Linked DNA regions of Oryctolagus cuniculus. The protein of the gene in region 7 interacts with the protein of the main gene of each other region in a pairwise test. Links are inferred from orthologs where the notes say so. Each region holds a gene or a part of one and is shown on either strand. Other genes may lie near its edges.

Evidence for each region.
Region 1: the proteins of KRT40 (region 7) and DLGAP2 interact in a two-hybrid assay, tested with the Homo sapiens proteins (2 studies listed by BioGRID). The link is inferred for Oryctolagus cuniculus from reciprocal best matches to the Homo sapiens genes KRT40 and DLGAP2.
Region 2: the proteins of KRT40 (region 7) and CCDC120 interact in binary tests that used the Homo sapiens proteins (3 or more experiments, as listed by UniProt). The link is inferred for Oryctolagus cuniculus from reciprocal best matches to the Homo sapiens genes KRT40 and CCDC120.
Region 3: the proteins of KRT40 (region 7) and PIMREG interact in binary tests that used the Homo sapiens proteins (3 or more experiments, as listed by UniProt). The two-hybrid records come from large-scale screens. The link is inferred for Oryctolagus cuniculus from reciprocal best matches to the Homo sapiens genes KRT40 and PIMREG.
Region 4: the proteins of KRT40 (region 7) and DOCK2 interact in binary tests that used the Homo sapiens proteins (3 or more experiments, as listed by UniProt). The two-hybrid records come from large-scale screens. The link is inferred for Oryctolagus cuniculus from reciprocal best matches to the Homo sapiens genes KRT40 and DOCK2.
Region 5: the proteins of KRT40 (region 7) and ZBTB16 interact in binary tests that used the Homo sapiens proteins (3 or more experiments, as listed by UniProt). The two-hybrid records come from large-scale screens. The link is inferred for Oryctolagus cuniculus from reciprocal best matches to the Homo sapiens genes KRT40 and ZBTB16.
Region 6: the proteins of KRT40 (region 7) and JOSD1 interact in binary tests that used the Homo sapiens proteins (3 or more experiments, as listed by UniProt). The two-hybrid records come from large-scale screens. The link is inferred for Oryctolagus cuniculus from reciprocal best matches to the Homo sapiens genes KRT40 and JOSD1.

What each region holds. Positions count from the first base shown.
Region 1 is NC_091439.1:118,473,480-118,477,516, forward strand, and holds the start of DLGAP2 (disks large-associated protein 2), read right to left. Parts: upstream 2,801-4,037; 5' UTR 2,175-2,800; coding exon 1,958-2,174; intron 1-1,957.
Region 2 is NC_091453.1:34,214,785-34,217,527, reverse strand, and holds the end of CCDC120 (coiled-coil domain-containing protein 120), read right to left. Parts: coding exon 2,090-2,743; intron 1,613-2,089; coding exon 1,498-1,612; 3' UTR 501-1,497; downstream 1-500. UniProt on the Homo sapiens protein: Centriolar protein required for centriole subdistal appendage assembly and microtubule anchoring in interphase cells. Together with CCDC68, cooperate with subdistal appendage components ODF2, NIN and CEP170 for hierarchical subdistal appendage assembly.
Region 3 is NC_091448.1:50,103,201-50,107,190, reverse strand, and holds the start of PIMREG (protein PIMREG), read left to right. Parts: upstream 1-1,190; 5' UTR 1,191-1,330; intron 1,331-1,750; 5' UTR 1,751-1,782; coding exon 1,783-2,061; intron 2,062-3,754; coding exon 3,755-3,990. UniProt on the Homo sapiens protein: During mitosis, may play a role in the control of metaphase-to-anaphase transition.
Region 4 is NC_091437.1:56,569,429-56,573,658, forward strand, and holds the start of DOCK2 (dedicator of cytokinesis protein 2), read left to right. Parts: upstream 1-1,430; 5' UTR 1,431-1,537; coding exon 1,538-1,580; exon of another isoform or gene 1,581-1,584; intron 1,585-4,230. UniProt on the Homo sapiens protein: Involved in cytoskeletal rearrangements required for lymphocyte migration in response of chemokines. Activates RAC1 and RAC2, but not CDC42, by functioning as a guanine nucleotide exchange factor (GEF), which exchanges bound GDP for free GTP.
Region 5 is NC_091432.1:105,955,740-105,959,239, reverse strand, and holds part of ZBTB16 (zinc finger and BTB domain-containing protein 16), read right to left. Parts: intron 3,319-3,500; 5' UTR 3,229-3,318; coding exon 1,961-3,228; intron 1-1,960. UniProt on the Homo sapiens protein: Acts as a transcriptional repressor. Transcriptional repression may be mediated through recruitment of histone deacetylases to target promoters. May play a role in myeloid maturation and in the development and/or maintenance of other differentiated tissues.
Region 6 is NC_091442.1:115,289,247-115,292,480, forward strand, and holds the end of JOSD1 (josephin-1), read right to left. Parts: intron 2,973-3,234; coding exon 2,873-2,972; 3' UTR 501-2,872; downstream 1-500.
Region 7 is NC_091448.1:21,607,952-21,611,927, forward strand, and holds the start of KRT40 (keratin, type I cytoskeletal 40), read left to right. Parts: upstream 1-1,176; 5' UTR 1,177-1,242; coding exon 1,243-1,689; intron 1,690-2,365; coding exon 2,366-2,448; intron 2,449-2,707; coding exon 2,708-2,864; intron 2,865-3,513; coding exon 3,514-3,675; intron 3,676-3,753; coding exon 3,754-3,879; intron 3,880-3,976. UniProt on the Homo sapiens protein: May play a role in late hair differentiation.

The DNA.
Region 1 (4,037 bases), on a different chromosome or scaffold from region 7:
CTTGTCCTGAGAGGCACTCTTGCCGTCACGGCACACGGCAGCAGTGACCACACCACACGGAACGGCAAAGTGCAGCTCCCATGTGTCTGGAGCTCAGCCAGCCTGCCTGGGCAGAGCGTGGGCTTCCCTTGCTGGGGTCAAAGGTGACTCCCTGGAGAGAGAAGCTGCAGACTCAGCGGGGTTTATTCACGAGTGACAACCCTTGGAAAGCAGAGACTGTGGGTTTAAAGTGATGGATGTTGAGAGTGGGGCTGGTCTGCCCTCAGAGCCACAGGTCCTGGCATAGCGCCCGTGTGACCGTGAAGGTGTGTGAGTGCCACACTTGCAGATCCATGCGCAGGCTGCATGGTGCCCAGCGTGGACACCGCCACTGCCCCCAACCTGGCCTCTAGTTATGCGCTTTGCCTTTGATGACAACTGAATGGACAGATCTGATTGAAAAGTTACATTCATCCCATGCAAACACGTGTTACTGAGTGAGCCCCGCAGACCGGGCCGAGGTGCAGTGACGCCTGCCCCCGGGCAGGCACCTGTCAGACCCTGACGCCAGCATTCCGCAGGCACAGCGGCCCCAGGTGAGCTCCAAAGGCTGACCTCCAGGCTGTTCTGAGGACCTTGGCACCCTGTGCGTGGAGGCCTCTCAGCTGAGTGGCATTAGTGATGAATGATTCTGCGCGAGGCAGGACTTGTTGCTAAATAAGAAGCATGAATCACAAAGTGGGGGAAAGAACCCTGACTTGTTCTATTCTGCGAACAAGCGTAAGGTCACAGCATCTCCGCCCCACACCAGGCGTGCAGCTGCACCTGAGGGCTGCAGGAAAACTGTGAATGAAACCGTGTCCCCCCACCCCCCAGAGGTGGACACAGTGGTGACAGCTCCTGATTGGTGCAGTCTCCGTGCTAGGTATTCTGGCTGTTCTCAACAAGAACTTTCAGAGCGAGCAGTGACCTGGACGCCTGGGTGGGCAACGGCCCTCTTCACAGACACCCAGTCTCATCAGGAAGGGCTGGACGCGGCAGGGCCACTGAGAGAGACACAAGACAAAACAGCACAGCAAGGCGAGAAAGCCGGGGAAACGCTCGCAAAGCCCAACCGGAATCTTCCCCCAGAGGAGCAGGTGCAGGGCACTTGCTCAGGCTTCCCCGCTGTGACGCCCCAAGCCTGTGCTCGCAGAAGCACGCCTCGTCTGGAGCCGCACAGCCCCGAGGACACTCGCACACCGCCTGCTCCCACAAGGCAGCGGCCGCTGCTCGGTCAGCACTAAACGCTGGGATCGCGTGCTTCGGAAACGGCTTTCGCTTTCAAAGCCAAACACAGGGCAGCTCTTCCCTGCGTCTCCTCAAACACCCCCTTCCTTTGATCCTGCTTCCTGCAGCTGCTGTGAGGCCCGAGTACCCGACTGCACTGGGCTCACAGAGGCACCTTCCCCGCAGGCTTCTGCCCCCAGAGTCTGCAGATCAAGCACCCGTCTTAACAGCTGCAGGGCCCTGGGTTTACTCGCTCCCCAGGGAGCTGGGCAGCAGACCAGCAGCTGCACCCTGGCTACGACAGACAGAGGCCAGCCAGCCAGAGCAGGTCCTGCATTACAAAGTGCTCTGGCATTCCGTGGCCATCCGAATCACGGAGAACTGGAGACTGAACTTGTCTTCTGAGAATGACAGCGCTGCAGTCCTGGGCGGCCGCGCGAGACCGTCCCCCAAACCCTCCATGGCAACTGACAGGCTCCCAGCTGCAGTCACGCCAGCCCCTGGCTGCTGCCGCTGCCTGTCCAGAGAGGAGCGCTTCACTCCCAGGAGCAGCGTAGACCATGGCTGGCGGGAAGGCAGGGAGACATGCCGCCTGGAGCCTGGGGCTGCTGGGCGCCCATCCGCTCGCCACCCCTCCAGCCGAGGCCACCCTGCTGGGCAAGTGCCCACCCGAGATGGGAAAAGTGAGGAATGACTCATCCGGACTCACCGCCCGCAGCGTCCAGACGCAGAGCGGCAGGCTCCCGGCAGACAGGGCACCGGGCACCCCAGGGAAGCGCCAGCACCGCTGCCGCCGTGGAGCAGGCCAGGAGACTCAGCGTGTGTCCAGGGCTCCGGTCAGTCACAGCCTGGCCGAGGCCGCCACGGGGCTCTGCAAAGCAGGCACACTGCAGCGCGGCAGGCACAGGATGCGATGCATGTCCCATATATTCAAGCGTGATAGAAAACACGGATCTGGAGTTGGCTCCATGTGGATGTGGGGGCGGCCTGGCTCGCAGCACAACAGGCAGGCGCCTGGCTCCTGATGGAATTAGCCATGGACAGGGGCGTCTGAACGGTGGCGCAGTGCTGTCCCCCGGGACATCAATTACCCGGAGCAGGTGCCTCCGCCTCCTGCCTGCCAGATCAAGTCGCTAATCTCATTTCACAAATGATCCCTATTTAGACAGGAGCCACCTATTGTGATGATATCATTGGCTCTGGGAGCCAAACATGGGCAGCTTCCTGGGGAGCGTCACGGCACTGACGACACGGCCTTTAAAGAGCGAGAGGGCCGGGGCTCGCACAGGCCTGGCCACAGCACGCAGCACCACCAGGCTGGCTGACCCGGGATGAAGAGTGACAGAGGGAGCACACCTTTCCCAGCTGGGCTCACAGACGGGGCGGGGCTCAGCACACAGTGGGCACGCAGTGAGTCCCCCAGCTCCTGTCACATGGGGCACAGCACACAGTGGGCACTGCTGCCAGCTCCTCCAGGTCCTCTCACATGGGGCTCAGCACACAGTGGGCACGCAGTGAGCTCCCCCAGCTCCTCTCTCACATGGGGCTCAGCACACAGTGGGCACGCAGTGAGCTTCCCCAGCTCCTGTCACATGGGGCACAGCACACAGTGGGCACGCAGTGAGCTCTCCCAGCTCCTGTCACATGGGGCTCAGCACACAGTGGGCACGCAGTGAATTCCCCCAGCTCCTCTCTCACATAGGGACAGCACACAGTGGGCACGCAGTGAGCTCCCCCAGCTCCTGTCACATGGGGACAGCACACAGTGGGCACACAGTGAGCTCCCCCAGGTCCTGTCACATGGGGCTCAGCACACAGTGGGCACACAGTGAATTCCCCCAGCTCCTGTCACATGGGGACAGCACACAGTGGGCATGCAGTGAGCTCCCGCAGCTCCTGTCACATGGGGCTCAGCACACAGTAGGCACTGCTGCCAGCTCCTCCAGGTCCTCTCACATGGGGACAGCACACAGTGGGCACGCAGTGAGCTCCCCCAGCTCCTCTCTCACATGGGGCTCAGCACACAGTGGGCACGCAGTGAGCTTCCCCAGCTCCTCTCACATGGGGACAGCACACAGTGGGCACACAGTGAGCTCCCTCAGCTCCTGTCACATGGGGCTCAGCACACAGTGGGCACGCAGTGAGCTCCCCCAGCTCCTGTCACATAGGGACAGCACACAGTAGGCACTGCTGCCAGCTCCTCCAGGTCCTCTCACATGGGGCTCAGCACACAGTGGGCACGCAGTGAGCTCCCCCAGCTCCTGTCACATAGGGACAGCACACAGTAGGCACTGCTGCCAGCTCCTCCAGGTCCTCTCACATGGGGCTCAGCACACAGTGGGCACTGCTGTGAGCTCCCGCAGCTCCTGTCACATGGGGACAGCACACAGTAGGCACTGCTGCCAGCTCCTCCAGGTCCTCTCACATGGGGCTCAGCACACAGTGGGCACACAGTGAGCTCCCCCAGCTCCTGTCACATGGGGCTCAGCACACAGTGGGCACGCAGTGAGCTCCCCCAGCTCCTGTCATATAGGGACAGCACACAGTGGGCACACAGTGAATTCCCCCAGCTCCTGTCACATGGGGCACAGCACACAGTGGGCACTGCAGTGAGCTCTCCCAGCTCCTGTCACATGGGGCACAGCACACAGTGGGCACACAGTGAGCTCCCCCAGCTCCCGTCACATAGGTACAGCACACAGTGGGCACGCAGTGAGTCCCCCCAGGTCCTGTCACATGGGGCACAGCACACAGTGGGCACACAGTGAATTCCCCCAGCTCCTCTGTCA
Region 2 (2,743 bases), on a different chromosome or scaffold from region 7:
GAGCAGCCAGGCCAGCACCAAGGCTCACTTGGCTAATCCTCTTCCTGCAGCGCCGGCACCCCGGGTTCTAGTCCCGGTTGGGGCGCCGGATTCTATCCCAGTTGCTCCTTTTCCAGTCCAGCTCTCTGCTGTGGCCCAGGATGACAGTGGAGGATGGCCCAAGTGCTTGGGCCCTGCACCCACATGGAAGACCAGGAGGAAGCACCTGGCTCCTGGCTTCGGATCGGCACAGCGCACCAGCCAGTAGCAGCCATTTGGGGGGTGAACCAACGGAAGGAAGACCTTTCTCTGTCTCTCTAACTCTGCCTGTCAAAAAAAAAAAAAAAAAAGAAGAAGAAGAAGAAGAAGAAGTGGAGCATCCAGGACTTGAACCGGTGCCTGTATGGGATGCCAGCACTGCAGTCAGGGGCTTTACCTGCCACGCCACCATGCTGGCCCCTATTTTCCAGGCTTAATTAAAGGTGTGGCCTACAAAACAAGGCAGAGGAGGAGCACATGGATTCGGTTTACACATTTATTGTAGAAATCCCCTTCCAGTGTGGGTAGTGTCTTGGGCCCAGATCCATTTGTACAAAAAGAAAAGTTTTAATACCAGGTAAAGGGGGGAGGGGAACCCCCAACTCCAGTTAATCACAGACAGGTATCATAGAAAACACAGCTTGTGTGATTTGTTTAAAAAGTGAGTGGAAGGAAAGCCAAGAAAGATGTGACGTGGCCTGTGGCCCATAGCCAGACGTCACCTGAGGATTTTACTGGCATCTTCCGACGCCAGGTTCAACCACAGCAGCATCCCAGGACACAACACCCCCGAGGGCTCTGCCCCTTGCTCCTCCTTTGGGGCCTCCTGATTGGAATGGTCAGGGCAGAGGCCCAGGGCACAGGCAGGGATGCAGCCTCCTTCAGGGACCACACCCAGAGACTTCAATCCTTCCAAGTGTAGGCAGAGCCCAACTCCCCCAAAACTGCCCTGGTGGGGAGTGGCAGGGAGTTCTGTGCACACCAGAATCTCCTGGCTGCCCCAAACAGGGGCTTGAGACCCTACATGGTCCATTTGGTGGAGGGGGTTCCTGAATGGAACAGGCTGGGCATGGGGACAGGAATGAACCCAACCAGGACAAGATCACAGTTTCCCTTTTATAAAATGCCTAGTGCAGGGTGGGGGGCAAGGGGAAGACAGTGAATACCTAAATCACAACTGTAAACAGAAATGGAGGAGGGGGCGTGGAATCCCCACGACATCACTCCCATCTCCTTTAAGCTGGCTAGGGTCCCCCAGTCCCCAGCACAGTGTGAGAGGAGAACCAGGGTGTCAGACACCTTCCTGGGCCCACGCGGAGCCAGGGAGGGGCATTGGAAGACCAGCTGGGTGCCCTCCCCGCCCCCCACCCCACCCTGCCCAAGACTGAGAGCAGCCACATCTCAGGGCTCAGCGAGGTCAGCTGTGTGCTCCCCAGACTGGAGTCATGCCCAGGCCAACGTGAGATGTATCAGAAGGGGTCAGACCAGCGTCCCCGGGGTCTGGGGGTCAGAACTGGAGGACTGCTCCCCCTCTAGCGTCAGGTCACTTAAACGAGCGCTCAGCTCCGGGGGGTACAGGAAGTCCGCGTAGTATCTTTGGAAGGGGTAGCAGGAATCCGGAAGACAGGTAGAGAAGAGAGGAAAAGACAGACAAGACACAGAAAGAGAGAGGAAGAGGTTCGTTAAAGAGGTGGAGGCAGGCACAGGACAGTACCTCCAGGCTCCCAAGCACGGGGCACAGAGAAGACGAAGAAAAAGATGAAGGCACGGGATGCCCCTTCCTCTCAGCACCCTGGCTTCAAGGCTTATCTTCACCTGACCAGACTAGCGAAAACCTACTCTTCTACAGCTCGCGGAAGACCTGCTGCTACCAAAGCCCAAGCTCTGCCTCCACCAGGACCCCAAGTACTAATGCAGGTTGTGCCCGGTACGGTGCCCCTGTGCCAAGGCTGCCGCTAGTTTCCCTGTGGTCTAAGTCATTAGCTCTCATGCCTGGCTGCTCCCTGGCCTGGGTAACCTTACCATCCGCCTCAAGAGACCCCGAACCCGTCAGTAAAAGCACCCTCCATACCTGCCAGAGACAGGGGGCGCCGTGAAACTCCTCGAGTGTGGGAGAGGTGGCTGGCTGGGAGCCCCGTACAGCGCCTGGCCCACCTCATAGCATCGGGCGTGGAGGAAGGACGGGTGTGGTGGGCCCATGTGGGGGGGCACAGGCCGGCGCTGGGGCCCCGCAGCCAATCCCGAGTTCCGGATGTACCAGTCCCGCAGCCCCTCCAGGGCGAGATTCTTGTGGCCACTGCGCTCGCCGGCAGGTGGGATACGGGTGGGTGGGGGCATCCACAGCAGAGGGTTGGGATGGACCTCCGGACCCTCAGCAGCCTCTGGGGCCAGGCCACAGGGCTTGGTGCGGGTAGCACGGGTGTGGGGGTCCTTGCTGCGGAGGAGGGGGCTGCTGCCGTCAGCTGCATACACAGGTGGTGGGCCGGGCAGCATGGCCAGGAGCCCATCCCGACGGGAGAGGGGTCCTGGGACCTCAGCTGCAGGCAGCAGCTCCCCCCAGCCTGCTCCGCCGCCACCGCGGGGCAGGCCCCGGTCGGGGGAATAGTCCAAGAGGAAGTCCCCGCACACAGGTGGGAGCCGGGGGACCCCGCGGGAGGCAGGGGCAGCTGAGCTCGGCCGGGCGGCCCGGGGAGGGTCTGGGGGGCCGGCTGTGCGGGAGGAGAAG
Region 3 (3,990 bases), about 28 Mb from region 7:
CCCTTGTTCAGCATGGTGCCTGAGCGTGGGCAGGCGGGGCGGCGGAGGCCGAGCCTGTGCACACCTCAGTAGGACCTGGGGAATACATGGGAGAAAGAACGTGGGGTGGGGAGGAGGAGGATCGTGGGAGAGAGCAGGTGAGTCAGCTAGGGCGTGCTGGCCTTCCCGGCCTGGGGCACCAGGAGGGTGGGGCCTGAGTGTTGGGTGAGAGGCCCAGGCTGGGGGGGGGGGGGGGACAGCGCAGCGTGAGGGTCAGGCACAGGGACCCGGCTCCAGAGGGATGGCGTTCGGCTCAGGGAGTGAAACATGGGCCCCTCCCCCACCTCTCTGTGCCTCAGTTTCCTCCTCCCTCTGCAGGGAGGCCAGGTGAGGGCCCGAGGCTTCTGTGCTGCAGGCGAGTTAGGCACTGTGCTCACCGTGGGCGGTGGTCGCTGCTGAGACCACCGGAAATGAGGCAGAGGCCTGAAGACAGTGCTTGGAGGAGGCGGGGCGCGGGGGGGGGGGCAATCTGCAGCACCCACAGGGAGCCAGCGGCGGGCAGTGATGCTTTGAGGTCTCCTAGGGACGGGCTGGTAATGGGGAGAGCTTTACAGATGGCGGGAGTCTGAGCTTGTGTGGATGCGAGGGGAGGGGTCGGGGTCTCCCGACTTAGGATGGCGAGGCCGGGGCAGGGGGCATGAGCAGGAAGGCAATGGGGGTGGGGGGCGGCAGGAGGGCAGGGGCAGGAGGACAGGTAGGCAGGGCAGAGGGGCAGGTGTGCTCCCGTCTGTCCCCGCTCCCAGGTTGTTTGATGGGGAGTGTGGAGCCTGTCTCAGGAGGGAGGGGTCTGCACCCGCATTCCCCAGCTCTTTAGAACAAAATCGCTGAGCGAGAAAGAACAGGCCACACCCCCTGGCAGGAGGGGCAGGGTCCCTGGAAGACCAGGGATGCTGCAGGCTGAGTGCCCTCCCAGTGCCCGGGACCCCAGGGGTCGCAAACGCCTGAGCCCCTTACAGGCTCTAGGAAGGGGGCTCGGGCGTGAGGCATGGACCGCGCGCCGCTGCCTGGGGCCGAGCACACGGGATGGGGCTGCGGACCCGGCAAAGGCGTGGGCAGGCGGGGCGGCGGAGGCCGAGCCAGGCGGGGGTCTCGAGCGATGAACAGGAGCTGGATTTGCAGCCGTGGGGGAAGGCGACCAATCGGAGGCCCGGAGCCGTGGCCAAGGCAGTATCTCGGAACCAATCATCTCTGAGGACAGGCCCGGGGCGGGGCCGCGCGGAGTTTGAAATCCGCAGCGGTGGGCGAGAGACCCGCTGTACTCGGATCGGATCGGCGCCTGGGGTGATCGCAGGTCGGGCCCCGGGGGGGCTGCTGTTCGGGATGGGGGAGGGGTCTGCCCAGGCCGGACACGGACGTGGGGAGCATCCAAGGGAAATCGGGCTGTCCGGGGGGCGGCCGCGGTGTAGGTGGGAGCGCGCCGGGTCAGGGCCGCGTTTTGAGACCCGTAGAGCCCCTGCCTGTCTTCGGCTCGAGGCCTCGGGCCCAGGGACGCCGGGGCCGAAAGGACAGCCCATGGAGAGAATCCAGGCCCAGGCGGCGGGAGTCCGCGGACTTCCCCTTGCGGGAAACACCCCCCTTTCCAGCACCCACAGCTACGAGGGCCCCACCCCACAGGCCTCCATCCTGTCTCCCTCCCCGGGCCTAGGAGCCCTGCGGAGCCTGGAAGGGGGCCAGCGATGCCCGCTGACCTGCCCTCGGCCCTCCTCCCCAGGGCGCGGTGAACAGAGGCGGCACAGCCAGCAGATGGCCTGTCGGTGGTCGGTGCGCCGGAGATCGCTGCTGGAGGAGGAGCAGCCGGAGGAGGAAACCACCACGCCGGCCGCAGCCGGCCAGCAGGATGCGTCCGCGGGGGCCCTGGGCTCCCTACGCAGACAGTTCCAAAGAAGGCTGCCCCTGAGAGCGGTCAGCCTCAACCTTGGGGCGGGCCCTTCATGGAAACGCCTGGGAACTCCGGAACCAGAGCAGCAAGGCCTCCAGGCGGCAGCTCGATCAGCCAAGAGCGCCCTGGGGGCCATGTCTCAGGTAACAGTGGCTGTGCTGTCCAGCTCCATGGACCCTCAGTGCTGGATAGAGCCCACCTCCAGGAGCCCCTGGAGAGTCTAGACTCCACCTGACAGGGACTTTGCACCTCTAAGAATTGCTAGCATAGAGTGGGCATTCAACAAATAGCTGAATGGTGCGGAGAAACGGAGGGAACAGGTGCTCATGATACAAGGGGTGAGAGCCATGTGTCAGCCAGTAGGGATGGTGAGGGGACGGCCAGTGAAGCCCCCCCCAACCCCCCCAGCAGGTGGCTCCATGGAGAATCAATGGGAAAAGGCAAGCACAGCTGGAATGGTGTGAATCCCACCGAGACCCAGGGACGGGGGTGTGGGCAAGGATTGTGTCTGGGTGTGGCCAGAGGAAGGGGGGGCTCTGATGTGTGTGGACCCCCAGGAGCAACCAGAAGAGGGAAGGATTCCAGACGGACGGGAAGTCTGCTCAGCTTAGTGTCGGGAACTTTCTCTTGAGCTGCCTGATGAAAAGGGTGGTGGGGCAGACACACCCGCGGGAGCCTGGGATCCTGGGTGCTGGACTCGCCCAAGGGAGAGCCGCTAACTTCAGGAGCTCCTCGGAAGGTAGACCCCCAAGAACCCGGTGTCAGATGAGACGGGCTGGCACCACGTCATGACGTACACTGGTGTGAGGTGCCCAAGGGCCTTCCGCCTGGAGCTGGGAGCATTCCGAGATGTCCCGAGGAGGGAAGGAGCCAGGGCAGCCATTTGGCCCCGTGATTAGGCTGCATCCCGTATCCAAGGGCCCAGGTTCAAGTCCTGACTCCCGATTGCAGCATCCCACTAAGGCAGACCCAGGGAGGCAGCCGGTGAGACCTCAGATGGTTGAGTCCCTGCCGCCCACATGGGAGACTGGGATGGAATTCCTGGCTCCTGACTTTGGCCCCTGGCCATTAAGGGCATCTCGGGAGTGAACCAGCAGGTAGGGCTCCATCTGTCTCTTTTTGCCTCTCCAATTACAACAGAAGAAAGGACAGAGCCATGGTAGCAGCCAGCCGTAGGAGGAGAGGGCTGGATGCCCCACTGGGCGCTCTGAAGGTGTGGGGAGAGGGCTGCTCCTTCAAGCCCTCCACAGACAGCTCTCTGGGCCCAGCCCATTAGTAAGAACCCTGAAATTGTTCCCACTGCCCCGGGCACAGGAGAGGTAGAGGGAGGTATCTTATCCAAGGCCACATGACATGGAATTTAGCTTGGGGCATGCACCAGCCCTCCCGCCTCTGGCATGCCACGGCATTCAAGGTCTTCACAGCCATCACCCACTGCCGTGATAGGCCTGAGAGTTCGGGCTTGTTCCTCTGAGCAATAAGGAGCCACAGGAGGGTTTCGAGGGGCCAAGCGTCCCGGGCAGAGCTGCCCTTTGGGCCAGCATGGAGGACAGATGGGAGTGGACAAGCGAGAGCAAAGGCAGGGAGACAGGTTTCCTCAAGAGGATGTGGGCTTAGACAACTGGAGTTCTATGAGCCAGGGCAATCCTCCCGTGATCGACCCCTGGGGGTGTGTCTTGGGTGGGGGAGCTCCATTTCCCATCCCTCAGGCTCGAGACTGAAAGCAGCCTGCAAGTACGGGACAAGTGGGAGGCCAAGGCTTGGAGGGAAGGCCGGGAGTGGCAGGTGACGCACCTGGGTTTCACGCATGCTCACCTTGCCTTGTAACTGTCACAGAGGATCCAGGAGTCCTGCCAGAGTGGCACCAAGTGGCTGGTGGAGACGCAGGTGAAAGCCAGGAGGAGGAGGAGAGGGGCGCAGACGGGTGATGGCTCCCCCCCGCACACCCTGAGCCAGAAGAGCACCCGGCTGTCGAGCACCACCCACCCAGCGCTGGGCTCCCGGGAGCGGGGGTATCGCCGCCTCTCGGCCCAGACAGGCCCCCGTGCCCACCTGCTGCGGCGGCCAAGGAG
Region 4 (4,230 bases), on a different chromosome or scaffold from region 7:
AAAAATATATATTCAATGACTAATGTCATTTTGAGTTTTATTAATAAAAAAGTGTGGAAGTTTGTTTTCTCTCCTTATAAATAAGTACCCATATAATATCCTTGATTTTGCTTCTTAGCATACAAAGACTAAAAATATTTACTATCTGGACATTTACAGAAAATATTTGCCAACCTCTGATGTATAGCCTGATTTATAGTATTGTTACAATCAGTGGTCAGTTTTCTGAACCAATTTCAGTGTAGCTGTGAAGTATTTTGTAAATGTTAGGAATATCTACCATCAGTTGACTTTACTAAGTAAAGATTATCTTCACTAATGTGGAGAAAGCCTAATGCAATCAGTTGACATGCCTTAAGAGGAAAACTTGAGGTCTCTTGAAAAAAAAGAAAATTCCACTTGTTGACAACAGTTTCAGTTTCTGTTGCTGCAAATTTTCAGCCTGCCGTACTGCTTTGCAGACTTGCCTAGGTGGCTAAAATTGCATAATCGAATTCCTTGCAATAAGTCAATCTCTCGCTAGTTGACTGGTTCTGGTCCTCTGATGGAATTCTGCCTAGCCCAGTGGTTCTCTCTAAAAGACAACGCCTCGTTTGTGCTACTAGAGAATTATAAAAGAGAGAATTCAGGTAAAATCACTATTTTGTCATAGCTGCCAGCCTGCTGTGATACGGCGTCATCTGTCTTAAAGACTACAGAGTAAAGCAGAAAAGGGTAGTGAGAGTTAAGAAAGTTCAGAAAGGCTTAAATTTAATCTTATCATTGTGGATCAAAGAGACATTTGTGTTTCATTTGTTCCAAGAGCAAACACAAAATGCAAGAAATGTCTCCCTTAGCCTAACACAGAGGTCCCTTTTCCTGTCCACTACTACTAGCTCTTAGAGCACTGTTGATCTCTTGGCCTTGTCTGGAAATGGTGTGTTTGTCTATTTTCAGAGGAGAGTGTAGTGAACTTTCATCAGATTTTTCATTGGCTTTGTGTCACCAAAAGGGCCCACAAATCTACGAATTACCTCTTGTTGTCACCTGCTGTGTACGTTGCTTTCTCTAAGACCTAACAATCATCACAGGAAGTAGGTTCCAGTATCTCATTTTGTAGACTGAGAAGACTGAAGTTTCCATGAGTTGAGGAATTTGTCCCAGTCTTGATTTGAATCTCAGCCTGACACCAAATCTCACACTAAGGAGGTAGGGTGCGGGAGTGTCTCTCTGGTCTCTATGCTCAGGAGTCCAGAAAATTCTGCACTGATGTGGCCTGGATGGCTCCAGGTCTCTGCCAGGTTTCTGCCCCCTCGCCCCGGGAGGTGAGAGGCTGCGAGTGACCCCCAGGTTTTGCGGGGGACCGCTAACCCCCAGTCTTCTCTAGCGTCCCTCGCCTCCGGAAGGGGGAGGAAGGCGGGGAGCCCCGGGGAGAGGAGGGCGGGCCCAGCGAGGGAGTTTGAAAAGAGGAAGGAAGTGGGGCCCGGCACAGCGCCTCACAACCCCCTGTCAGCTTCCCCACAGGAGGACGCGAGGCCCGCAGGCCCCCGGCCCAGCCATGGGCCCCTGGCGCAAGACTGACAAGGAGCGGCACGGCGTGGGTAGGTGCGCGCGTGGGACCGCAGTCGGAGCCGGGCAGGTGCTGGAGGGTCGCGGGCGGCAAGATGCTGCGCCACCTGGGGCGCGGTCAATGCCTCGGTTACAGGGGCTGCATCAGGCTGCCTGAGGCCCGCGGGGCGGGAATGAGCAGCCGGGGAGGAGGTGGGCTTTCCAGCCCGCGGGCTGTGCCCTGCCGGCGCCCTCCTGCCCGCCCAGCTGCGCCCTCTCTGCCGGGCGCGTCGTCGCCTGCGACATGGGTCAAGCTGAGCGCCTGTGTGGCCGAGGGGTGGACTCCATGGCCCCCTCTGGTGAAGGCCTGGCTGTCCTGCTCTCCTGGCTGGTGAGGCCCAGCTTGCTTGCCTCCACCTCTCCTAAGCGACAGGATCTATCTGCCTCAGGCGGCCTGCTCCTCCTCCTTGGGCAGGTGGCCCCTGACTTGGCCAAGCATCCACAGAGCCTTGCAAGCCTGGGGCCGGCCGGCCGGGGGCTGGAGGGCGGGAAGGCGGGATGCTTCACTCAGCGCCCCAGGGCCTCGTCAGCGTCAGCCATCTAAGCTCCCAGAGGCCTCTGCCTCCAGCTCAGGCGCGCGGGCGGAAGTGGTAGCAGGTAGGGCGTCTCTGAGTGGCCTCTGTGGTGCAATCCCTGGTAAACTTCAGTGTGAGCTTAAAACTCATTCTGGAGATTGCTACACAGGCTGATAGCGGTCCCCACCCTGGAGATGGAAGATTCAACAAGTGAGGCACTGATGGGGCCACTCTAGCACCAAGAGTGATTGGGATGCAGGGGGTCCTGGTGATGAAGTGGTGTGGGGGACATTTGAAGATGAACAATTGGTAATCCTTATCCTTAATGGGGTCTCAGTGTCCCCATCTGTAAAATGGAAAGCTTCTCTGACGCTGGCCCTCCCAGCTGGGCTGTGAGGCTAGTAACATTCACAAAGGGAATATTACCGTTCAACAAGGCAGACCATGCAGGTGGAGGGACCAGAGTGGTCTAGCAGATGAGAGCTGAGTGGGGACAGAACAGCTGGTCACAAGTCTTGGCTGGAGGGGAGGGTGCCTTAAAGGAATGATTGAGCCCCAGTAAGGCGGAGGACTTCTGTGAATGCCAGGCTGGGGAGTTTTTTTTTGGTTTTGTTTGTTTTTGTTTGTTTTGTTTCATTTTGTACTTCCCCCATGTAAGCAGTAAGGAGCCATAAGAGAGTTTCTAAGAAGAGGAAAGGCATAAGCAGATATATGCTCAAGCCAGTATGGAGAGAGGCTGGGTGGACAGAGATCCCAGATGCCTGGGTGGCACGCAGGGGACAATGTTGGTGGTCCAGGGTAGCTAGGACAGTTAATTGGCGATTGAGAGCAGCGGGACAGAGTCCTACCCACTGCACAAGAGCTGTGTGCATGGCTGCTGTGTAGACCTTATAATGTGGTTATGAACACACGGGCTCTGTGGCATATTCTTAGATCCCAGCTTCTAACAGTTTCAAACCCCATGACATAAGGCAAGTCACTTACTCTTGCCATGCCTCAGTTTCCTTGTCTGTATAATGGGCATAATACAGCACCCACTTTTCAGGGATCTGGGAGGGCTAAATGAGTTGCAGCTACACAGAGCAATCTGTATGAAATGTTATCAGTTATTATTTTTTAGACATCCCTTTTGGGCCCAGTTGAGGACATGATGTCTCAGATGGAATGGGGCTACAGGAAGGAGTAAGCTTCTCACCCTCCCTAGCAGAGGCTACCCTGCCTCTGTGGCCTCAGCGATGGAGAACTATCAGGCTGCAGCCCAGAGACTTCTTGGACTTGTGGAGCTGATGTTTTCCATGCCTAGTTATGAACAATACTTTATGGGAGTGAAGGGTGTGCTGGTTGTGTGTGGAGGGAATCAGCACTGCCTGGCAGGTGCCTGTGCTTTAAAGAGATCTCTTCTCCACGCAGGTAACTTTTGGAAGCCACGGATGTTATCTCCTCCTCTGTAGGCTCTGTGTGGCTGGAAGGGAAAGGTGAGGCTTAGGTTGTCCTACAGGGGACTGGAGTCACACAACAGAAAGAAGAGAAAGTGGCTTGAGATTGTGAAGGCCAGGTTCCAGCTCTGATAGAATTACGATTTGCAGATTAATCTGTGCTCCGGTTTTCTTACTTTGAAGTCCAGCTACTAATGCTTCGCTATAGCAAAGCTTTCTTTTATGAAGATTATTTGAAGCAATGATTATGGGGTCTTGGAAGAAGACGAGGAGCTGACGCTGCATAAGGGATTGGAGTGGGGAGGACTTGGAGGTCTCTGGACACTTTCCTGTTCCCATTCCTCATCAGAGCATGTGGCAGCTCTTCTTCCTAAGGCCTGCTAGACAGGGCTGCTGGTGCTGGCGGGTCTGGAGGGCTGGGCTCACCAGTAGCTGCTTCATCACAGGTAATCGCCAGCTCCCTTGTTATCTTGCTGTCGGTGGGCAGCCAGGGTGAGACTCATGTAAACCCCTGGCCAGGTTACTAGAATTAGTCCAGTGCAATGCCTAATTCTTTGGGAACTTATAGTTTATCAGGAAGACAAAAAATAAGTAGATAAATCAGTAAACATATAAATTGTAACTGTGATATGTACAGATAGAGGAACTTTCTATGAATGAGGATATTGGAAGGAGTAAATTGGATGACTTGC
Region 5 (3,500 bases), on a different chromosome or scaffold from region 7:
TGACCCCTTGGAAGGCAGCTCCTGAACTCAGAGCCACGGAGGATGCTGCAGAAACAAGACCCAAACAAGGTGAAGGGACTGAAGGGCTCTGTTCACCTTCGCCGTGACCGTGAGCCAGTCCAGCCCCAGAGGTTTCTGTGTCTCGCTTCATCCATTCAGCACCAACCCTGATGACCAGCTCCATTTTTAGCCAAGAGTAACACCAGGCTCGGCATGCTGAGAACGGTCAGGGTCACAAGCTCTCACCACCTGACGCGGCTAACTCCGCCACCCAGGCTCTCTGGAAAGGAACAGCAGTCACCCCTCCACCTCCCCTGGGAGGAGCGAGGGCCCCACCAGAGGGGAGTGACGTCTTTTGTGTCCGTCTCGGGAGTAGGAAAGAAACTGAGATGCAACAAGAGCTGGGGGAAAACCTGACGTTCCATCATCACCCACTTCTCAGCACACGGCTGCCAGAATCCGCCCCGGAGAGGCCAACTACCCTATGTGGTCAAGTCCAGGAGGGGTTTCCTGCAGAGGAAAAAGTGTGAGCTCCAACCAACCCAGCCTCAGTCTGCTTCCGAGCGGTACCCATGCAAGGAAGACACACCTCAGTGGCAGTTTCTTCACGCCCACCAGGGAAAAAAAAGGGGGAGGGGGGCTGCATTTAGGTCAGCAGTACTATTTTCCACCCAGGAGAGTCTCATAGCATCCAAGCAGGTTCTGGGGAGGGCAAGCGGCTCAGCTCCCAGAAGCCCCACCACCACCCTCACTTCGCACCCCCGCACCTGAAGCAGCACAGAGGCATGGGGAGGGGGGCAGTGAGCAGGGTCCACGCAAGACCAGCCACACAGCATGGAGAGGTGAGCCGTGGGGGCAACAGAAACTAGGCTTCTTACCCCCGTCCTGGGACCCAGGGACTGGAGGGTAAGATGACAGGCACATGACTCATCACGAAAACCTTCTCCCGAGTTACTCCACTTCTCAGGAGCAATCCTCAAAAGCCTGTTCCGTAGGCAGGATCTGCTTCAAGACTGGATGACTCCAAGATTCAGCAAAGCACAAGGGGCTGAGGACCTGACTTCAAATCCAGCCCTGCCTCTATCGACGTAACCCTGCAAAGTGGACTTTACGTCCGAGTCTTAGCATCTCGCCTTGCAAAAGAAGAGCCCTGCCTACCTACAGGGCTAGTGGGACAAAACTGCAGCTTTACCTGACGTGCTCTGTCGCAAACCGAGCCTGTCCTAACAGCTCTGCGAATGGTTACTTCAGAGAGAAGCAAGCAGAAGCCCAAGGAAAGCCAATGCCGGCAGCATTTAACTCTGGGTGAGCACAGCTGGGACAGGAGTTAACACTTCACAGGTGGCAAGGCCCAGACTTTTATACCCACCCAGAATTTAAATCAACCCCCCCCCAAATGTGACTGCAGGAAGAGAAAATAAGAAGGGACAAGGAATGTCAGGATGCACATTCCTGAGAACGACACACGGCACCTGCAGCGGCTACTCCTGCGGCCTCTGCAGCTTCTGGCCCCTCCCATGCTGCAGACAGCACCAGGCTGCCATTTTAGGAGAGGAACCCAGTACCTGAACCTGGTAACCAGATCCAGGCCACAGGGGGCCTCAGCCTGAACCACACCTTCCCGCCACCCCTGTCCATCACTGCAGGTCCAAGAGGATGGACCAGGCTACAGAAGAAACAAATGGGACCCCAAAAGCAAAAACAGATAGAAGGGCCTAGTCACACCCTGGGCCTGTGAGTTCCCTGATGCTTTGGGAAGACCACCTGACCCCTCACCACGCTGTGAATGGTATGCCCCATCCCCCCAGGACTTTGGAAGAAGTATGTTTTTTAAAAAATATATATAAATAGCAAGGAAGAGAAGGGAGCTAGGCCCCCAGCCCTGGAAGCAGCCAGGGTGGAAGGCAAGCTGTGAGGGCTGCACGTCCAGCAGCAGGTGCGAGACTGCACCAGGGCCTACCTGTGCTGCTCCACAGCCTCGTTGTCAGGGAGCTCGACCCCACACACGCTACACTGCTCGCCCATGCTCCGGCTCTCCGACTTCATGCCCACCGCCAGCTCGCCCAGCTTGCTGAAAAGCTCCCTCTGAATGAAGCCCTGGGGCAGCAGACCCCCGTAGGTGCTGAAGTCCATGGAGACGGCCAGCGCAGGCTGCACATGGAGCCCAGAGGTCACCGACGCCGGCATGCTCAACACGGCGTCAGCCTTGTGGTTGGGCAACACCGAGTAGATGCCCAGGCGCTTCTCCGCAGGGGCTGCTGGGTGCTCCAGGCGGCCCGGGGGGCCTTGGCCAGCCTCAGCCGGGGGTGGCAGCTGCTCGGCGCTCTCCTCCCGCCCGTAGTGCAGCTCCCTGGCACTGGTGATGACGCTGCTGCGAGTTGGGGTCCCAGGGCCCTCTTTGCTCCTTTCCTCAACTTTGTCCCCCAGTCCTCCCGAGACACTGGATTCGACTGGCCCAGGGCTGTCCTGGCCAGGTACCTCGTCTACCTGCATCATCTCCGTCTTCACCTCGGCCACGCCAGGGTGCCGGCCACCCCCAGCCAATGTCGGCTCCTCGGGTCCCGCAGGTGGCTGAAGCGTCCCCTGCAGGAGAGACTGTCCTATGGTCATCAGACTGTCCACGGCAGCTTTGGTGGGACTCATGGCTGAAAGCCCAAACGAGGTGGAGACGGAAGGGCTCTGGTCCACCAGGGGCCCAGCGAGGCTCTGTCCAGCCACACTGGCGTACCCACTCTCCTCGCTGGAATGCTTCGAGATGAAGATGTTCTTGAGGCACCGAGCCTTGCGGTCCTCTTCCTCCTCAGCCCCGCCGTCAGCCATCGTGGCCTCCGTGTCGTTGTCATCTGAGGCCTGGATGGTCTCCAAGATCTTCAGGCACTGCTCCTCCAGGTACTCGATCTCCAGGATCTCGGCCGCATAGAGCAGGTCGTCCAGGTCCTCCGCCTTGGCCTGCAGCGTGGCCGTGTAGGCATACTCCAGAATCTGCTGGAAGGTCTTTGGCGAGAGGAAGTCCAGAGTATAGTGCTGGCTGTTGCGGTGGAAGAGGATCTCAAACATCTTGCTGGTGCAGGCCAGCACCGTCCGGTGGGCGTGGAACTCCTGGCTGTCCACCATGATGACAACATCGCACAGCGTCCCAGCCAGCCGCATCTGGTTGGCCTTGCACAGCAGCCCCGTGGGGTGGCTGGGGTTCTGCAGCTGGATCATGCCCATCTTCGTCAGATCCATGGCGCTGCCCTCGGCTCAGGCATGAGGCTCCCCTTCCGTCTGTGCTCTGCGTGGCGGGGCAGGGTAGGTTTCCTGGGCCGATGCAGGAGACTGAGAGAGAGAAGAGGGGAAGAGGCAAGAAAGGATGAGAGAACAAGAGGCAGACAGGCTAGTATCTCCAGCAGGAATAATGCAAACCCTGCATCATGTCCCGGCTCACCCAAGCCCATAGCAAGAAGGAGTTTCCCCAGAATCTCCGAATCTGCCCGTGCAGGCCCAGGGACGATGAGAGT
Region 6 (3,234 bases), on a different chromosome or scaffold from region 7:
CTCCAGTGCTGCTGCACTCCACCAATGCCCGCCGCCTGACCAGGGTCCTAACCCAGGCCAGACACCCACTTTGCATTTTTTTAATGCTGAGACCAGGCACACCACCAATGAACACCATGGTGATACCCTTCCTAAGCCTTCAGTGGGTTGTTTACTGGGACACTGCACAATCTGCAAGGCAGTATGGTTCCAGATTTAGACAGCAGCTGGACGCCCACCTAGGCCGTCTGACGACCCTGCTGTGTGGTCTGGGTGTGCTGATGCAGGATCCCGTCTGGTACAAGCTGTGCTGGGCAGGCGGGGCCTTCAAACCGGGAGGCCCACCGTTTGTGAGCTCCCCGGGAGCTGCAGAGTGCCTCAGGGCGCTTCGCAGTGTTCAGATGAGTAGTGCCTGGATCTGCAGGTGAGGGCAGCGTGGTGTTGCTAGCCTCCTCAGAGGACGATTCCCCTGCAGTGGCATCATACTAAGGCTTTTTCTGAACAGTTCAGGCAGGTAAGAGTTATGTACAGAGTTTTCCATTTTTAATATTTGGTTAAACAAAATACATCTTCTGTAAACAAACCCAGCACAAGGCCAACAAAAAAGGGGAACAAAAGCAAAACCAGCCTAGGGGTGCCCCTCACTGGGCATCAGGGCCGGGCCTCCCTCCCCTGCAGGAAGTGGGCTTCCTGCCCTTGGGCGTCAGCCTGGGTCCCTGTTCCTAAGCACCAGAATCGGGCATGAGCAGAGAAACCGGCCCTAAAGTCAAAGCGTCTGCATGTCCCATCGGCGCGTGGACTCTGCATGCACGGGGCTCCCGGGAGGTGCCGTCTACACAGGCCCGGGCAGGGCGTGCAGAGGAGTTTCCTCTCCAGGAAATGGCTTACTATCGCCGCCGGCGCCAGTGGACCCCAGGGCCTGGGTGGGCTGGGGTTCTGGCTGCGGCGGCTGGAATGTTGTGCAGGGCAGGAGCTCCCTGGGTGCCAAGCAGGTCTGCTGGAGGATGGGACCACAGCAGTGGCCGAGGGCACAATGCGACGGCTGCTTGTGGCTTGTCACTCGGCATCGGACACGGCCAGACGGCGCACGTGCAGAGAAAGTGCTGGTGTGGACATGCACTCGAGTTCGGGGGAGCCACGGCCTGAGCCCCACGCCGGCTGTGCCAGCGGCCGCTCTCGGGCCTCCTGAGACCGAGCTGCCTCTGGGCAACCACAGGCGCCCTGGGGGTCCACTTACTTCCTCTCCTGTTTTCCAAAGTTGAGGGAGAAAAGTGGCCTACAGCTATTTCCGGAGGTAGGGGCGGGTCAGCCAGCGGCCTGTGCCGCACAGAACCACCAGCGCCAGGCCCCTGCCTCCCTGGCAGCTCCGGCTTCTACCAATCCTGGCTGCCGTACTGCGTGTGTTCTTCCTTCACCCAACTCCATCCCAAATTAGTAGGGTTTGATGCCAAAAGCAGACTTATTTTTTCTGATTTTGCCAGAAGGGCCATCTGGGAGGACTGTCTGGCCCCACAGCCTCCTGAGTCCATGCGGCGGGATGGCAGGGACAGAAGCGGGTGCAGGGCAGCAGCCACCGTGCCATGCCGCTCCCGGCGTGGCCCCGCCACCTCGGGCCTGGCCTCCCCTGCGGGCGTGGGGTCTCCGTGACCTTCTCGTGATAGGATCGGAGGCGAGCTGGACGACCCTTCAAAATGGGGCAAAGGGCGGGAGACGGCCTGGTGCGGCCGCTGGGGTTTGGAGACGTTTCCTGAGAGACCCCATGCTCTGGGTCCTTCGAGCCGGTCACGGCTTTGTGTTCCCTCGTCCTCAGACCCGCGGGTGCCACAGGGGAGGTGAGGCGGAGGCGGAGTCTGGAGCGGTGGCGCCTGAGCAGAGCCGGGGCGAGCCTGAGTGCCTCTTCCTGCTCGCCTTGCCTTCCAGGAGCACTGGAGGCTGGGTGGCTCTCACGGCGCCACGCGTCTGTCCTACTGCACTGCCAAATCCGAAGGGACCCCATGAGATGCTTGGGGGGCAAGGGCAGCCCCACTGTGGAGGCCACAGCACATCCGAGGACTGGAGGGCGGGGCCAAGGTGAGGCTGGGTGGGGCTGTCACACAGGACTGGAGGGCGGGGACAGGTGGGACTGAGGACTGGAGGGTGGGGCTGTCACACAGGACTGGGGGGAGGGGCCGGGTGGGACTGAGGACTGGAGGGTGGGGCCGGGTGAGGCTGTCACACCAGGACTGGAGGGAGGGGCTGTCACAGGACCGGAAGGCGGGGCCAAGGTGAGCCTGGGTGAGACCTTTACACCAGGACTGGAGGGCGGGGCCAGGTGGGACTGAGGACTGGAGGGTGGGGCTGTCACACAGGACTGGGGGGCGGGGCCGGGTGGGACTGAGGACTGGAGGGTGGGGCTGTCACACAGGACTGGGGGGCGGGGCCGGGTGGGACTGAGGACTGGAGGGTGGGGCCGGGTGGGGCTGTCACACAGGACTGGAGGGAGGGGCTGTCACAGGACCGGAAGGCGGGGCCAAGGTGAGCCTGGGTGAGACGGTTACACCAGGACTGGGGGGTGGGGCCAGGTGGGACTGAGGACTGGAGGGCGGGGCTGTCACAGGACTGGGGGGCGGGGCCGGGTGGGACTGAGGACTGGAGGGTGGGGCTGTCACACAGGACTGGGGGGCGGGGCCGGGTGGGACTGAGGACTGGAGGGTGGGGCCGGGTGGGGCTGTCACACAGGACTGGAGGGAGGGGCTGTCACAGGACCGAAAGGCGGGGCCAAGGTGAGCCTGGGTGAGACGGTTACACCAGGACTGGTGGGACTGAGGACTGGAGGGCGGGGCTGTCACAGGACTGGAGGGCGGGGCTGTCACACAGGACTGGGGGTGGGGCCGGGCCGGGGCTGGCTGGGGAGTCACACGTCTGCCCTCCAACTCTGATGGGCTTCCACCTCTTCTGGCACCACCAGCAAAAGTTCACAGTTCTTTCCTCGCAAATGATGCTTCAGAAATTTCCTAGGGGAATAAAAACAGATGAGAAGGGCAATGAAACGCTGGTGACCTGCACACTCCGCCACACCCGTGGCCGTCCTGCAGGCGCTCCCGCGGCCACTACTGGGGCTGCCCCTCCCGGTCAGCGCTGCCCCTGAAGCCTGGCCCTCCTCACGCGCCAGCCAGCAGCTGTCGCTCAGAGCTCTCTGAAGGTCTGTAACTGCTGAAAGTAAGTTTCCTCCTCTGTTCCCTGCCTGACTGCCTGGCTGCCTCGCTCTGACAGCAG
Region 7 (3,976 bases):
GCCGCGGCTCACTAGGCTAATCCTCCACCTTGCGGCGCTGGCACACTGGGTTCTAGTCCCGGTCGGGGCACTGGATTCTGTCCCGGTTGCCCCTCTTCCAGGCCAGCTCTCTGCTGTGGCCTGGGAGTGCAGTGGAGGATGGCCCAAGTGCTTGGGCCCTGCACCCCATGGGAGACCAGGATAAGTACCTGGCTCCTGCCATCGGATCAGCGCGGTGCGCCGGCCGCAGCACACCGGCCGCGGCGGCCATTGGAGGGTGAACCAACGGCAAAAGGAAGACCTTTCTCTCTGTCTCTCTCTCTCACTGTCCACTCTGCCTGTTAAAAAAAAAAAAAAAAATACAAGTTTAAAAAATAGCATAACTGATCAAAAATGATGTGCAGGAAACACAGAGGAGGTAAGTTTCAGAAAATCAAAGATCCAATTCCAGGTCTTGATGACCAATTTATGTTTTTTTCTGCCAGGAACAACTTGCTCCCATCAGCAGTGCACAGCATTCTTCTATTGCTATACAGGGAGATGGCACACATGTGCACAGCACACACACTAAAAGCCATACACATCTCACTGTTCGCAAAAAGCAGGGCAATATTACCCATCACACTCACCATTTTTATGGCGGTAACACAAACAAATAAACGTTACTGAGTTGTAGTGCTCATTTTAAAAGTAGAAGAGGGGAGTCCATAGGCTCCAAACTTAAAGCAAAGATAAGGAAGTGGAAATGCTGAAGGGAGCTGTTTACACCATGTACATGTGTTGAAATATTGCGCCGTGCCCCATAAACAGGCACAGGTCTTACAGGTTAGCTTTCGAAAGTAGACACAAGGATCAGTGCACAGAATCAAACTCTGGGGCCATGTAGTTTTCCTCCTGGTGATGGGTTGTACCTGTCATTATTGCTTGGCTGAATTTTTTCTTTCTGTCAAAAGGACAATACTTTCTATGATGATTTTTTGAAATAAGAATTTTGTTCTACTGACCTGTGGAAATAGTGTAGGGCCTGATTTAGTAACCTAAAGTTAGCCCTCTTTTATGAGGCATGAAACTCTTCCTCCATAAATAAACAACACTAATGAAACGTTTGTATGGAAACTGGTACCGACAGGGTACAGAAAACATCTGGTGCCCCGGTAAATACCCAGGGCAGGGAAGTGCTATATAAAAGTCTCAGGAAGGAAGGAGACTTTTTGAGTCAAAGCAAAGGAGTTTTGCAGACACTCTCTGCTCATCACTTCAAGAATGACTTCCGAAGCTTCCCACACACACTGCTCTTCTGAGTCCTGTGCCAGAGCCTCTGGCTGTGCACCTGCTTCCGCCCACTCCCTGGAAAGGACTTGTCTCCCCAGTGACGGCTCTGCAGGCAGATGTCGGAGCCCCGGCTTCCTCTCCAGGTCTTGCTTGTCCACCCGTTGCCTCACGCCATGCTACTTGGTTGGGAGTTGTGACAGTCCATGCTTGGCAGGGAGCTGCGCGTGGTGTGAGGATGGGATGCTCAACAGCAACGAGAAAGAGACCATGCAGCTCCTGAATGACAGACTCGCCAGCTATCTGGAGAAGGTGCGCAGCCTGGAGGAGACCAACGCCGAGCTGGAGTGCAAGATCCGAGAACAGTGTCAAGAGAGTATCCCACTGCCGTGCCCTGACTGTCAGTGCTACTTCAACATCATTGAAGATCTCCAGCAAAAGGTTCCGTGTCTCGTCACCTTAATGTTCCACCTTCCTAATCTACGATTGGCTTTACCTTTACCTTAGAAGAGGCATTCTTGCGGAAAGAAACCAAAGGAAAGGCGAAATCTGTGAGTTCATGAGATATGAAAGAGAGGGCACAGGACTGAAGGTTAGGAGTCAGCAGCAGCCCCACAGCTGCCCCTGTTCACCAAGGGGCTATGATGGGGACAGGGGCTGGTGGTCTTCAGCTGTATCTCCTATAGAGTGTGTGTGTGGCACTTCCATATGCATCCCTGCACATTTATATCAATTTTTACACCAGAATTGAAATGCCATTGTTATATCATACAATTTCACCTAGAAATCATTTTCTTCTCTTACGGATGAATTTCTATTACTGTTGGTGGGGATACAGTTCTAATACAAACTACTGATGCAGAAGACCTGAACAGCATTCAACTGCCAAGCAATATTGGGAAATGTCCTGAGCCCTTTTCATGTCTGTGCTTTGATTCTAAGTTGGCACTGCCTTTTCTCTTCAGTAAGTCACAAAGTTAACAAGCAAGCAGGCTGAAAGCAGCTTGATTCTTTCTTACATCCCCTCACAGACAACTAATGGCAGAGCCATGAAGGGTACAGGTGTTCAGGTTTCTTTCCAAGAACCATTTACTTTACCTAATAACTTGCTTCTCAGATCTTGTGCACGAAAGCAGAGAATTCTAGACTTGCTGTACAGCTCGACAACTGCAAACTGGCTGCTGAGGACTTTCGGACAAAGTAAGTTTACCTGCAATTTGAATATAATTTGTGGTTTTCTTTCTGTGTCTCTTACACACAGACACACACACACAGAATATTCTCTATATAATTTTTTCAAGCTAAAATATTCTAAAAGCTCAAATTTGTAATTATTTCATACACAAAATAAACGACAGCATGCGGCTTCCTTGAGCCTGTGTGTCAATCCCCCAGTGCACCCAGCACTTACACGGTGTGTGGGAAAGCAGCATTGCATGTATCTCTCTTGCTGTGTAAGGTACGACAGTGAACTGTCCCTGCGTCAGCTGGTGGAGAATGACATCAGTGGCCTGCGTGGGATCCTGGGTGAGCTGACCCTGTGCAAATCTGATCTGGAAGCCCAAGTGGAGTCTCTGAAGGATGATCTCCTTTGCCTTAAGAAAAGCCATAAAGAGGTGAGAAAGAGGCAGCAACCCAGAAGGAGTCTAAGAGTGGAAACGTTACACTGGTAGAGTTCAAGTTGATGTGTGCAAACTGAACCTGGGAGAACGCTGCTGAAGCTGAACTAACACTCCTCGAGGCTCTACTGCGCTCAGCCTGACCACTCCACTGTGACGTCCACCTCAGATAGGGCATGAAGACGCCTCTGGTATCCAGACCAGTTTTAAATATCCCATTTCTATGAACTTTTTAAAATCATAAAATACGAAAGTGTTGATCTCGTTTTGATGAACCAGAAAATGAAGTGCAGAATCATGTAATAGATGTGTTTTCTCTTTGGGCATTTGTGGATGATGACAACAGTTCACATTTACTGAGAACATCCTCTTTGAAGCAACTTCCTAAATTCTTTATATGTATGCACATATTAACTCTTCCATATCTCACAATAATCCCCCAGAACAAAATAAAATTACTATGCCAATTTTGCAGAAGAAACTGGGCACTTGTAAGGGGGGGGAAAGAGAATTAGCCCAGGGCATCAGAATTAAAATCCTACACTTTTACTCAGTATTTCACAACTCGGGAATGGGATGCCACTGTGTGTCGGATGGATTTTGCCCTACTGCTCTGTGACATTCTTCACTCCCTTCCCACTTTCAGGAGGTCAACTTGCTCCGTGGCCAGCTCGGTGACCGACTCAGTGTGGAGCTGGACACCGCCCCCACCATCGACCTCAACGAGGTCCTGGATGAGATGCGCTGTCAGTATGAGACGTTGCTCGCCAACAACCGCAGAGACGTGGAGGAGTGGTTCGCTGCTCAGGTCAGGCCCGAAGCAACATGGGAGCAGGACTCCCCGCATGTGCCTCGGCAGGGTTCTCTAACCATGCCTGTGTTTCAGACAGAGGAGCTGAATCAGCAGCAGCTGTCCAGTGCAGAGCAGCTGCAGGGCTGCCAGACGGAGATGCTGGAGCTGAAACGCACAGCCAACACGCTGGAAATTGAACTTCAGGCACAGCAAAGCCTGGTGCGTATGGCAAAGAAGGTGTCCGCCTTGTCACTGATAAATCGGGCTCTGACAAACACCCTTTCCCACAACCCAAGGCAGAGATCCCCAGTTCGTG